2 linked regions of the Saccharomyces cerevisiae S288C genome follow. The protein of the gene in region 1 binds, or shares a complex with, the protein of each later gene. Each region holds a gene or a part of one and is shown on either strand. Other genes may lie near its edges. A codon is read from its position in the direction of its gene.

Region 1 (4,473 bases):
GGGGATGAGGAATCCGACGATGCTGTAGACGAAAATGATGTTAAGAAATGCATGGAAATGACAATGATTAATCCCTTCAAAAACTTGGAAACTGATAAAACACTAGAGTTGAAGAATAACGTTGGAAAAAGAACATCAAGCACAGACAGCGTAGTTATTCATGATGATAATGACAAAGATAAAAAGCTTTCAGAAATGACGAAAATAGTAAGTGTTTATCAACTGGACCAGCCAAACCCAGCAAAGGAGGAAGATGATATAGATATGGAAAATTCTCAAAAATCTGATTTGAATTTAAGTGAAATTTTTCAAAACAGTGGTGAAAATACCGAAAGGAAATTGAAGGACGATAATGAACCAACAGTAAAATTCAGTACAGATCCTCCAAAGATAATAAATGAGCCAGAAAAACTTATTGGAAATGGGAATGAGAATGAAAAGCCTGATTTGGAAACAATGTCACCAATCAAAATAAACGGGGACGAGAATATGGGTCAAAAGCAAAGGATCACAGTAAAGAGAGAAAGAGACGTAGCACTAACTGAACAAGACATAAACTCCAAAAAGATGAAACTAGTTAATAACAAAAAATCAGAGAAGATGCATTTGCTTATCATGGATAATTTCCCAAGGGATTCCTTGACTGTATATGAAATTAGTCATCTTTTAATGGTTGATTCTAATGGCAACACTTTGATGGATTTTGATGTCTATTTCAATCACATGTCAAAGGCAATAAACAGGATAAAAAGTGGATCGTTCACTATGAAACATATAAATTACCTGATCGAACCCTTGATTACTTGTTTTCAAAATCAAAAAATGACCGATTGGTTGACGAATGAAAATGGTTTTGATGAACTACTGGATGTTGCTATTATGCTTTTGAAATCTACTGATGACACGCCTTCAATTCCATCAAAAATATCCAGTAAGTCCATAATTCTCGTTCATTGTCTTTTGGTTTGGAAAAAGTTTCTAAATACACTAAGCGAGAATGCCGACGATGATGGCGTTTCGGTGAGAATGTGTTTCGAAGAAGTATGGGAACAGATCCTTTTAATGCTTAATAAATTTTCTGATTATGGAAACGAAATCTATAAATTAGCGCAAGAGTTCAGGGACAGTCTAATGTTATCGCACTTTTTCAAAAAACATTCGGCAACAAGAATTCTAAGCATGTTGGTTACTGAAATTCAGCCTGACACCGCTGGTGTGAAAGAAACATTTTTAATTGAGACCTTATGGAAGATGCTGCAATCTCCTACCATTTGCCAACAATTCAAGAAATCTAATATATCAGAGATTATCCAAACAATGAGCTATTTCATTATGGGGACTGATAATACTTCGTGGAACTTCACCAGTGCCGTGGTATTAGCTCGTTGTTTGAGAGTCCTCCAAACTACTCCAGATTATACTGAGCAAGAAACCGAACGATTATTCGATTGTTTGCCTAAGAATGTCTTTAAAATGATCATGTTCATCGCCTCAAACGAATAGAGAATAGCGTGGTAGACGCGTAATTTTTTTTTACCGTGACGCGTCTCACCAGAGTTTCTTAGTTCTTTCTCTTTTCTAAAACTGTAATAATATGAGCTCTTTGTAGACACATATAACATTTTGTTTCATATACATAATATATTTGCATATAAAAATATCAAGATAATTGATTGTCAATTGGTTCAACAAAGCTTGAAGGTAAATTTAGGCAGGAGCAAGTGACTGAAAAAAAAAAAAATGAGCGGATCTATCGATGTCATCACTCATTTTGGGCCTGATGCAGACAAGCCGGAAATCATCACTGCATTAGAGAATTTAACTAAACTGCATGCATTGTCCGTCGAGGATCTATACATTAAATGGGAGCAGTTCTCCAATCAAAGGCGTCAAACTCACACAGATCTGACTTCCAAGAACATAGATGAGTTTAAACAATTTTTACAATTACAAATGGAAAAGCGTGCTAACCAAATTTCATCGTCCTCTAAGGTAAACACATCCACAAAAAAACCAGTGATTAAAAAAAGTTTGAATTCAAGTCCCTTGTTTGGCCTTAGTATTCCAAAGACTCCGACTTTAAAAAAAAGAAAGTTACATGGTCCCTTTTCACTCAGTGATTCCAAGCAAACATATAATGTAGGCTCTGAGGCAGAAACAAATGAAAAAGGAAATAGTTCTTTAAAATTGGAGTTTACTCCAGGCATGGCAGAAGATGCTGTGGGTGACAGTGCTCCATTGTCCCACGCTAAAAGCTCGGATGCCAAGACTCCCGGCTCGTCGACATTCCAAACTCCAACAACAAACACTCCTACCACATCGAGGCAAAATGTTCCTGCTGGTGAAATTTTGGATTCTTTGAACCCTGAAAATATTGAAATATCATCTGGTAATCCAAATGTAGGCCTTCTTTCGACTGAAGAACCATCATATAACCAGGTCAAAGTAGAACCATTTTATGATGCTAAAAAGTATAAATTCAGAACAATGAGGCAAAACTTACAGGAAGCGTCTGATGTCCTCGATGATCAAATTGAATCGTTTACTAAGATTATTCAAAATCACTATAAGTTATCTCCAAACGACTTCGCTGATCCAACTATTCAATCTCAGTCCGAAATTTATGCTGTTGGAAGGATAGTTCCAGATTCGCCGACCTACGACAAGTTTTTGAATCCAGAATCGCTTTCCCTAGAGACCTCAAGAATGGGCGGCGTTGGAAGAAGGGTAAGGTTAGATCTATCGCAGGTCAACGAGCTTTCGTTTTTCTTAGGCCAAATTGTGGCATTCAAAGGTAAAAATGCTAATGGGGATTACTTCACCGTTAACTCTATTTTGCCGCTACCTTATCCAAACTCCCCAGTGTCCACATCGCAGGAACTGCAGGAGTTTCAAGCAAATTTGGAAGGTTCTTCTTTGAAGGTTATCGTGACCTGTGGCCCATACTTTGCAAATGATAACTTCTCCCTCGAATTGTTGCAAGAATTTATCGATAGTATAAATAATGAGGTAAAACCTCACGTCTTGATAATGTTTGGCCCATTTATAGATATCACCCATCCTCTGATAGCGAGTGGTAAATTGCCAAATTTTCCCCAGTTCAAGACACAGCCCAAAACATTGGACGAGCTTTTTTTGAAGTTATTTACTCCTATTCTAAAAACCATATCACCACATATCCAAACCGTATTGATACCCTCCACAAAAGATGCAATTTCTAATCACGCCGCATATCCACAAGCTTCTTTAATTAGAAAGGCTTTACAGCTGCCTAAAAGGAACTTCAAATGCATGGCTAATCCTTCATCTTTTCAAATAAATGAGATATACTTCGGTTGCTCAAACGTTGATACATTCAAAGATCTAAAGGAAGTCATAAAAGGCGGTACTACCTCATCAAGATATAGATTAGATCGTGTTTCTGAGCATATTTTACAACAGCGCAGGTATTACCCCATATTTCCAGGTAGTATTCGTACAAGAATAAAACCAAAAGACGTATCTACGAAGAAGGAAACCAATGATATGGAAAGCAAAGAAGAAAAAGTTTATGAACATATATCTGGTGCAGATTTAGACGTGAGTTATCTGGGACTAACAGAGTTTGTTGGTGGGTTCTCGCCTGACATAATGATTATACCCAGTGAATTACAACACTTTGCAAGAGTTGTCCAAAACGTAGTTGTTATAAATCCCGGAAGATTTATTAGAGCAACAGGTAACAGGGGATCCTATGCACAAATTACTGTCCAATGCCCTGATCTTGAAGACGGGAAATTGACGCTTGTTGAAGGTGAAGAGCCAGTTTATCTACACAACGTGTGGAAGCGCGCTAGAGTTGACTTGATTGCTAGTTGATATATTTAATTCAAACTTAACTAATGGAATAGCTCAAGGTAGCACCAAAAAGTATTGTTATACACCTGAACTATCGACCTTGAAACTGGCTCTATAACTTACTTATTGATTAAAGACCATAACATGATCAGTATCCGGGTAATAAAGTAACGTGATCAGAGGCCAGAGAAAATGTTCATAAGTAGAGACTACTCTTAAATGCATAATAAAAAAAAAAACTGATAGGCATCACTCTTTCCTTTTTGACTAAGATTCCAGCATCACATTGCAATATGTCCACTGGTATTACTTATGATGAAGATAGAAAGACACAATTAATTGCCCAATACGAATCTGTAAGGGAAGTTGTGAATGCAGAGGCAAAAAATGTTCATGTTAATGAAAATGCCTCCAAAATTTTATTATTGGTTGTTTCGAAATTGAAACCAGCTAGCGATATACAAATTCTTTACGACCATGGTGTGAGGGAGTTCGGGGAAAACTATGTTCAAGAGTTGATCGAAAAGGCAAAATTACTACCAGACGATATCAAGTGGCACTTTATTGGCGGTTTGCAAACGAATAAATGTAAAGATTTGGCTAAAGTGCCAAATTTATACTCTGTTGAAACAATCG
Region 2 (7,146 bases), on another chromosome or scaffold:
TTCTCTAATGTGGATTGGAATGTGAATACCACCCATAATAATGCAAACAATAATGGCGCGGACACTTTCAGCAGCATAAATGCAAATCCTTTTGACTTGGATGAACAACTAGCCATTGAGTTGAGTGCGTTTGCCGACGATTCTTTCATCTTCCCAGACGAGGATAAGCCGAGCAATAACAATAACAACAGCAATAATGGTAATGACGACCATAGCAACCACGACGTATTGCATGAGGACCCTTCTACCAATAATAGACAAAGAAATCCTCACTTCTTGACTCAAAGAAGGAATACTTTCCTAACTTCCCAATACGACCAATCAAAGTCTCGATTTTCGTCCAAAAACAAAAGAAATGGCAATAACGGCGAAACAAACAACTTTGGCGACAATATGCAAAATAACCATCCTTTTGAGCCAAACTTTATGGGAAGCCCTTCTCAGTTTCCCGCTGACGCAACTAATATGACATCAATCGACCATGGCGGCTTCACAAATGTTGACATTACATCAACTGAGAACAATACTACCGGTGACAATGGAGTGGATGCGCTATCAAATCTACTACATAGGACAACACACACACCGAACCGCTCCTCCCCCCTAAGCAATGTCACTTCTGCTCAAAATTCCTCTTCACAACAACGAAAACATTCGGAAAGCAAAGTCGATAGTAACAGCGATAATAACAGCTCCAACAAAGCCCCCAATATAACTGTTCCTGACTATTCAATTATACCAACCTCTGTTTTAGTAACTCTATTACCGAGGGTCAACGTGCCCAACGGCGCATATAACTCGTTGATCAGCGCGGGATTTGACAATGATCAAATAGATGCTATAGCCGCAATAATGGCGTATCATCATCAAAAAAAGATTAGGGAAAATAACAGTAATAATAATAAAAACATCAACACCAATGACAGTCAAGAGGCACCCATTCTAAAAAACATCAACGAACTTTTAAGTGTCTTAATACCACCCTCTCCGGCTGAAACTGCTGCGCCAACTACCTTATCAACGTCGCCTTCGTTCAATGAGCACGGTGTAGTAGCAGAGGCTTCTTTTCTAAGCTCCATTTTGGAACTGGGCATAAAGCATCCAAAAAGTAATAATATTCACAATCAACGACAACCTTCACGAAACGATCATAAAATATCAAGAGAGAGTGACGGTAACAATGGAAACGATAATGTCCATCATAATAACGCTGTTATTAAGTCAAGTACGACGCGTGGAGACGAAATTGCCAAGATACGATCCGAGCCAACTTTAAATGCAAGTTCTTCTGATCACAAGGAAAATAGTTTAAAAAGATCACACTCCGGAGATTTGAAAAATAAAAAAGTACCCGTCGACCGCAAGTATTCTGATAATGAAGACGATGAATATGACGATGCAGATTTACACGGCTTTGAAAAGAAGCAACTGATCAAGAAAGAGTTAGGGGACGACGATGAAGATTTATTGATACAGTCGAAAAAATCTCATCAAAAAAAAAAACTAAAGGAAAAGGAGTTAGAATCATCGATACATGAACTGACCGAAATTGCAGCATCCTTACAAAAACGGATACATACGTTAGAAACGGAAAACAAGCTTTTAAAGAATTTAGTTCTGAGTAGCGGTGAAACGGAAGGAATAAAAAAAGCTGAAAGCTTAAAGAAGCAAATTTTTGAGAAGGTTCAGAAAGAATAAAATAACAGACTATACAGTTTAATTATATATATATATATATATACGTGCATTTTTCTTAAAGAAATATAACTTTTTTCTTGTACTGCCTGCAATCTCTATTCTTCATTCATCACACATCTATTCAAACGCGTTAAAATTTTTTTGTTAGCCTATAAGTAAAACGCGTCGCGTGTATCCAATTTTACTGAATTAAATTCTTTACTCATTGGATGATATATATCTTCTTGGTCTAGACAACGAACACATACCAATTCAGACTCACGAGAAAAAAAACTGTCTTCACTCTGCTATTAGAAACCAAATAGTATCAAGGCATAAAATAAACAGTGGAAAATGTCTTCTAAAAGTGAAAAATTAGAAAAATTGAGAAAGCTGCAAGCCGCTCGAAATGGTACATCCATCGATGATTACGAAGGTGACGAATCAGATGGTGACAGAATATACGACGAAATCGACGAAAAAGAATACAGGGCCAGAAAGCGCCAGGAATTGCTGCATGACGATTTTGTTGTAGATGACGATGGTGTAGGCTACGTCGATCGTGGTGTCGAAGAAGATTGGAGGGAAGTTGATAACAGTTCAAGTGATGAAGACACTGGAAACCTTGCTAGCAAGGATTCTAAAAGGAAGAAGAATATAAAAAGGGAGAAAGACCACCAGATTACAGATATGCTGCGAACTCAACATTCCAAATCAACACTGCTAGCACATGCAAAAAAATCCCAAAAAAAAAGTATCCCCATCGATAATTTTGATGACATTCTTGGTGAGTTTGAATCTGGTGAAGTAGAAAAACCCAATATTTTACTGCCATCCAAATTAAGGGAAAATTTAAATTCTTCGCCGACTAGTGAATTTAAATCGTCAATAAAGAGAGTTAACGGAAACGATGAGTCAAGTCATGATGCCGGTATTTCTAAAAAAGTCAAGATTGATCCAGATTCAAGTACTGATAAATATTTAGAAATCGAATCATCACCGTTAAAATTACAAAGCAGGAAACTGCGCTACGCAAATGATGTACAGGATTTATTGGATGATGTGGAAAATTCCCCAGTAGTAGCCACAAAGAGACAGAATGTACTTCAAGATACGTTACTAGCAAATCCACCATCCGCTCAAAGTTTGGCTGATGAAGAAGATGATGAAGATAGTGATGAAGATATTATTCTGAAAAGAAGAACTATGAGAAGTGTGACAACAACTAGACGCGTGAATATAGACTCAAGAAGTAACCCTTCAACTTCACCGTTTGTCACAGCACCCGGAACGCCAATCGGTATTAAAGGACTAACTCCAAGTAAATCTTTGCAGAGCAACACCGATGTTGCTACACTTGCGGTTAATGTCAAAAAGGAAGATGTGGTAGATCCGGAAACTGATACTTTCCAAATGTTTTGGTTGGATTACTGTGAAGTGAACAACACTTTGATTTTATTTGGTAAGGTTAAACTAAAGGATGATAATTGTGTGTCAGCCATGGTTCAAATCAACGGTCTCTGTAGAGAGCTATTTTTCCTTCCAAGAGAGGGTAAAACACCTACCGATATACACGAGGAAATAATTCCGTTACTGATGGATAAATATGGACTGGATAATATCCGCGCTAAACCTCAAAAAATGAAATATTCGTTTGAGCTTCCTGACATTCCATCTGAAAGTGATTATTTGAAAGTCTTACTTCCATACCAAACACCGAAGTCCAGTCGAGACACCATTCCATCGGATTTATCTAGCGATACCTTTTATCATGTTTTTGGTGGGAATTCCAATATTTTTGAAAGTTTTGTTATTCAAAATAGGATTATGGGACCATGCTGGTTAGATATAAAGGGAGCAGATTTCAATTCAATTCGTAATGCTTCTCACTGTGCGGTTGAAGTTTCGGTAGATAAGCCTCAGAATATCACGCCTACTACAACAAAGACAATGCCTAATCTGAGATGTCTATCTTTATCGATTCAGACGTTAATGAATCCCAAGGAAAATAAGCAAGAGATTGTTTCGATAACGTTATCAGCATATAGAAATATCTCGTTGGATTCACCGATACCTGAAAATATAAAACCAGACGACTTGTGTACTTTAGTAAGGCCGCCTCAGTCAACTAGTTTCCCATTAGGTTTAGCTGCACTGGCAAAACAGAAACTACCCGGTAGAGTCAGGTTGTTCAACAACGAAAAGGCCATGCTATCTTGTTTTTGTGCTATGTTAAAAGTGGAAGACCCAGATGTTATCATAGGCCATCGTTTGCAAAATGTCTACTTAGATGTTTTAGCTCATAGAATGCATGATCTCAACATTCCAACGTTCAGCTCTATTGGCCGTCGTTTAAGAAGGACTTGGCCTGAAAAATTCGGTAGAGGAAATTCGAATATGAACCATTTTTTTATTAGTGACATTTGCTCTGGTAGGCTGATATGTGATATCGCCAATGAAATGGGTCAATCATTAACACCCAAATGTCAAAGTTGGGATCTTTCAGAGATGTATCAAGTTACATGTGAAAAGGAGCATAAGCCGTTAGATATTGATTATCAAAATCCACAATACCAAAATGATGTAAATAGTATGACAATGGCCCTACAAGAGAATATTACTAATTGTATGATTTCTGCTGAGGTGTCTTATAGAATTCAATTATTAACCTTGACTAAACAGTTGACAAATTTGGCTGGTAATGCATGGGCCCAAACGCTAGGCGGTACAAGAGCTGGTAGAAATGAGTATATCTTACTACATGAATTTTCAAGAAATGGTTTTATTGTTCCTGACAAAGAAGGCAATAGAAGTAGAGCTCAGAAACAAAGACAAAATGAAGAAAATGCTGATGCACCAGTTAATTCTAAAAAGGCAAAATATCAGGGTGGTTTAGTTTTTGAACCTGAGAAAGGTCTTCATAAGAATTACGTTTTAGTCATGGACTTTAATTCTTTGTATCCATCTATTATCCAGGAATTTAATATATGTTTTACCACCGTTGATAGAAATAAGGAAGATATCGATGAGTTACCAAGCGTACCTCCTTCAGAGGTGGATCAGGGTGTTTTACCAAGGTTATTAGCTAATCTGGTGGATCGTCGACGTGAAGTTAAGAAGGTGATGAAAACTGAAACTGATCCCCATAAGCGAGTTCAATGTGATATTCGTCAACAAGCTCTAAAATTGACTGCCAATTCTATGTATGGTTGTTTGGGTTATGTTAACAGTAGATTTTACGCAAAGCCGCTCGCCATGTTAGTCACTAATAAGGGTCGTGAGATTTTAATGAATACAAGACAACTAGCTGAAAGTATGAATCTTCTTGTAGTTTATGGTGATACAGATTCGGTCATGATAGATACCGGTTGTGATAATTATGCGGATGCAATTAAAATTGGCTTGGGATTTAAAAGGCTAGTAAATGAGCGCTATAGATTATTGGAGATTGATATTGATAATGTTTTTAAGAAGTTACTATTACATGCCAAGAAAAAGTACGCTGCTTTGACTGTAAATTTGGACAAAAATGGTAATGGAACTACTGTTCTAGAAGTTAAAGGGTTGGACATGAAGCGTCGTGAATTTTGTCCACTTTCGAGGGACGTTTCTATACATGTTTTAAACACCATCCTGTCAGATAAGGACCCAGAAGAAGCATTGCAAGAAGTGTATGATTACTTAGAAGACATCAGAATAAAAGTGGAAACCAATAACATTAGAATTGATAAATATAAGATCAATATGAAGCTTTCAAAAGATCCCAAGGCCTACCCAGGTGGTAAAAACATGCCTGCAGTCCAAGTAGCTCTAAGAATGCGTAAGGCTGGTAGAGTTGTTAAAGCTGGCTCTGTCATCACTTTTGTGATCACAAAGCAGGATGAAATAGACAATGCAGCGGATACGCCGGCTCTTTCTGTGGCTGAACGTGCCCATGCATTGAATGAGGTAATGATTAAAAGTAACAATTTGATACCTGATCCACAATATTATCTCGAGAAACAAATATTCGCGCCGGTAGAAAGGTTGTTAGAAAGAATTGATAGCTTCAACGTGGTGCGTTTGAGTGAAGCGCTTGGTTTAGATAGTAAAAAGTATTTTAGAAGAGAGGGCGGTAATAACAATGGAGAAGATATTAATAATTTGCAACCCTTAGAAACAACAATTACAGACGTTGAAAGGTTTAAGGATACTGTAACATTAGAATTAAGTTGCCCATCATGCGATAAAAGGTTTCCATTTGGTGGTATTGTATCTTCAAATTACTATCGCGTGTCATATAATGGTTTACAGTGCAAGCATTGTGAGCAACTTTTTACTCCTCTTCAATTAACTAGCCAAATAGAGCATTCTATAAGGGCACACATTTCCTTATATTACGCAGGGTGGTTACAGTGTGATGACAGCACATGCGGTATAGTTACAAGACAAGTCTCCGTTTTTGGTAAGCGTTGTTTGAATGACGGCTGCACGGGTGTCATGAGATACAAATACAGTGACAAGCAATTGTACAATCAACTTTTATATTTCGATTCTTTATTCGATTGTGAAAAAAATAAAAAGCAAGAATTGAAGCCAATATATCTACCCGATGATCTCGACTACCCCAAGGAACAGCTGACAGAATCATCTATTAAGGCTTTAACAGAACAAAACAGAGAACTAATGGAAACCGGCCGGAGCGTTGTTCAAAAATATTTGAACGATTGTGGACGTCGCTACGTTGATATGACTAGCATATTTGATTTCATGCTAAATTAGGTAAGTATTTTGTATGTGTTGTGTGATCTCATGAATATTCTATATAGTAAGAAAAGAATACAACTGTACATACGCATCCTACTAGATACCTAATGTACAGACATCGGAAGGAGCGCTAGGAAGCTTTTATTATTGAAGGTTTTCAGCGATATTCTGAGAATGTTTTTTCGGCTCTGGTGATCAGTTCTCACATGCATCATCCTTTAATAAACCCATGCATTAAGATTCGCCTTATCAGCAAGATCAGATAAGCGAACAGCTTCATCAATGAAATAGAATGCTTAAATCTTGTGAAGCACTGTCATAAGCCAGTTTGATAAAAGCAATACCCACAATATAGTTGGATATCATTTACCTTGATCTGCTCTTGCTTTCGAGGTGACATAGCATTTTTAGCCATCTGATTCCTTAGGTTCAAAGGCACTCATCATTCCTCCTCTAAAACACATTTCAACGTCATTCATAATCTGGAATCAACATAACAATATCCTAGAACACATCATCAATGGTCACTAACAATGGAGATGGTGAGCACCTTGGGATCCGAAGAAACGGAAATTTAAGGCATCCTTCCAATAATATGAAAATTCCCAGAAGGGCTCAATCAACAGTTCTCAATTCAAACCCATTTTATAGTAGGAAGTATTCTATGTCTACCTTAACGCCGAGGGATATATGTCGAAGCGTTGATTCTAGAGTATTTGTGGA

What was found.
Region 2: the proteins of POL12 (region 1) and POL1 are in contact, whole or in part, in a cryo-EM structure (PDB 8FOC), measured with the Saccharomyces cerevisiae proteins. Residues at the interface, in NP_009518.1 of Saccharomyces cerevisiae: Arg248 (codon at 2,482), Thr249 (codon at 2,485), Met250 (codon at 2,488), Arg251 (codon at 2,491), Gln252 (codon at 2,494), Asn253 (codon at 2,497), Leu254 (codon at 2,500), Gln255 (codon at 2,503), Ala257 (codon at 2,509), Ser258 (codon at 2,512), Leu261 (codon at 2,521), Asp262 (codon at 2,524), Ile265 (codon at 2,533), Asn281 (codon at 2,581), Phe283 (codon at 2,587), Ala284 (codon at 2,590), Gln289 (codon at 2,605), Gln291 (codon at 2,611), Ser292 (codon at 2,614), Glu293 (codon at 2,617), Arg299 (codon at 2,635), Val301 (codon at 2,641), Pro302 (codon at 2,644), Pro305 (codon at 2,653), Thr306 (codon at 2,656), Asp308 (codon at 2,662), Asn312 (codon at 2,674), Glu319 (codon at 2,695), Thr320 (codon at 2,698), Ser321 (codon at 2,701); in NP_014297.3 of Saccharomyces cerevisiae: Met547 (codon at 3,670), Lys550 (codon at 3,679), Asn552 (codon at 3,685), Lys553 (codon at 3,688), Gln554 (codon at 3,691), Asn642 (codon at 3,955), Val643 (codon at 3,958), His650 (codon at 3,979), Gly676 (codon at 4,057), Asn681 (codon at 4,072), Ser1134 (codon at 5,431), Ala1139 (codon at 5,446), Pro1141 (codon at 5,452), Gly1142 (codon at 5,455), Ser1286 (codon at 5,887), Pro1288 (codon at 5,893), Ser1289 (codon at 5,896), Asp1291 (codon at 5,902), Pro1323 (codon at 5,998), Leu1324 (codon at 6,001), Gln1325 (codon at 6,004), Thr1327 (codon at 6,010), Ser1328 (codon at 6,013), Gln1329 (codon at 6,016), Glu1331 (codon at 6,022), His1332 (codon at 6,025), Arg1335 (codon at 6,034), Ala1336 (codon at 6,037), Ile1338 (codon at 6,043), Ser1339 (codon at 6,046).

The regions. Positions count from the first base shown.
Region 1 is NC_001134.8:150,878-155,350, reverse strand, and holds POL12 (DNA-directed DNA polymerase alpha subunit POL12), read left to right. Parts: upstream 1-1,740; coding exon 1,741-3,858; downstream 3,859-4,473. Other genes in the region: STU1 (Stu1p), read left to right, coding at 1-1,503; YBL036C (pyridoxal phosphate homeostasis protein), read left to right, coding at 4,131-4,473. UniProt on the Saccharomyces cerevisiae protein: Non-catalytic component of DNA polymerase alpha, which in a complex with DNA primase (DNA polymerase alpha:primase) constitutes a replicative polymerase.
Region 2 is NC_001146.8:428,056-435,201, forward strand, and holds POL1 (DNA-directed DNA polymerase alpha catalytic subunit POL1), read left to right. Parts: upstream 1-2,031; coding exon 2,032-6,438; downstream 6,439-7,146. Other genes in the region: MET4 (Met4p), read left to right, coding at 1-1,698; AVT4 (Avt4p), read left to right, coding at 6,944-7,146. UniProt on the Saccharomyces cerevisiae protein: Catalytic component of DNA polymerase alpha, which in complex with DNA primase (DNA polymerase alpha:primase) constitutes a replicative polymerase. POL1 has a role in promoting telomere replication during interaction with CDC13.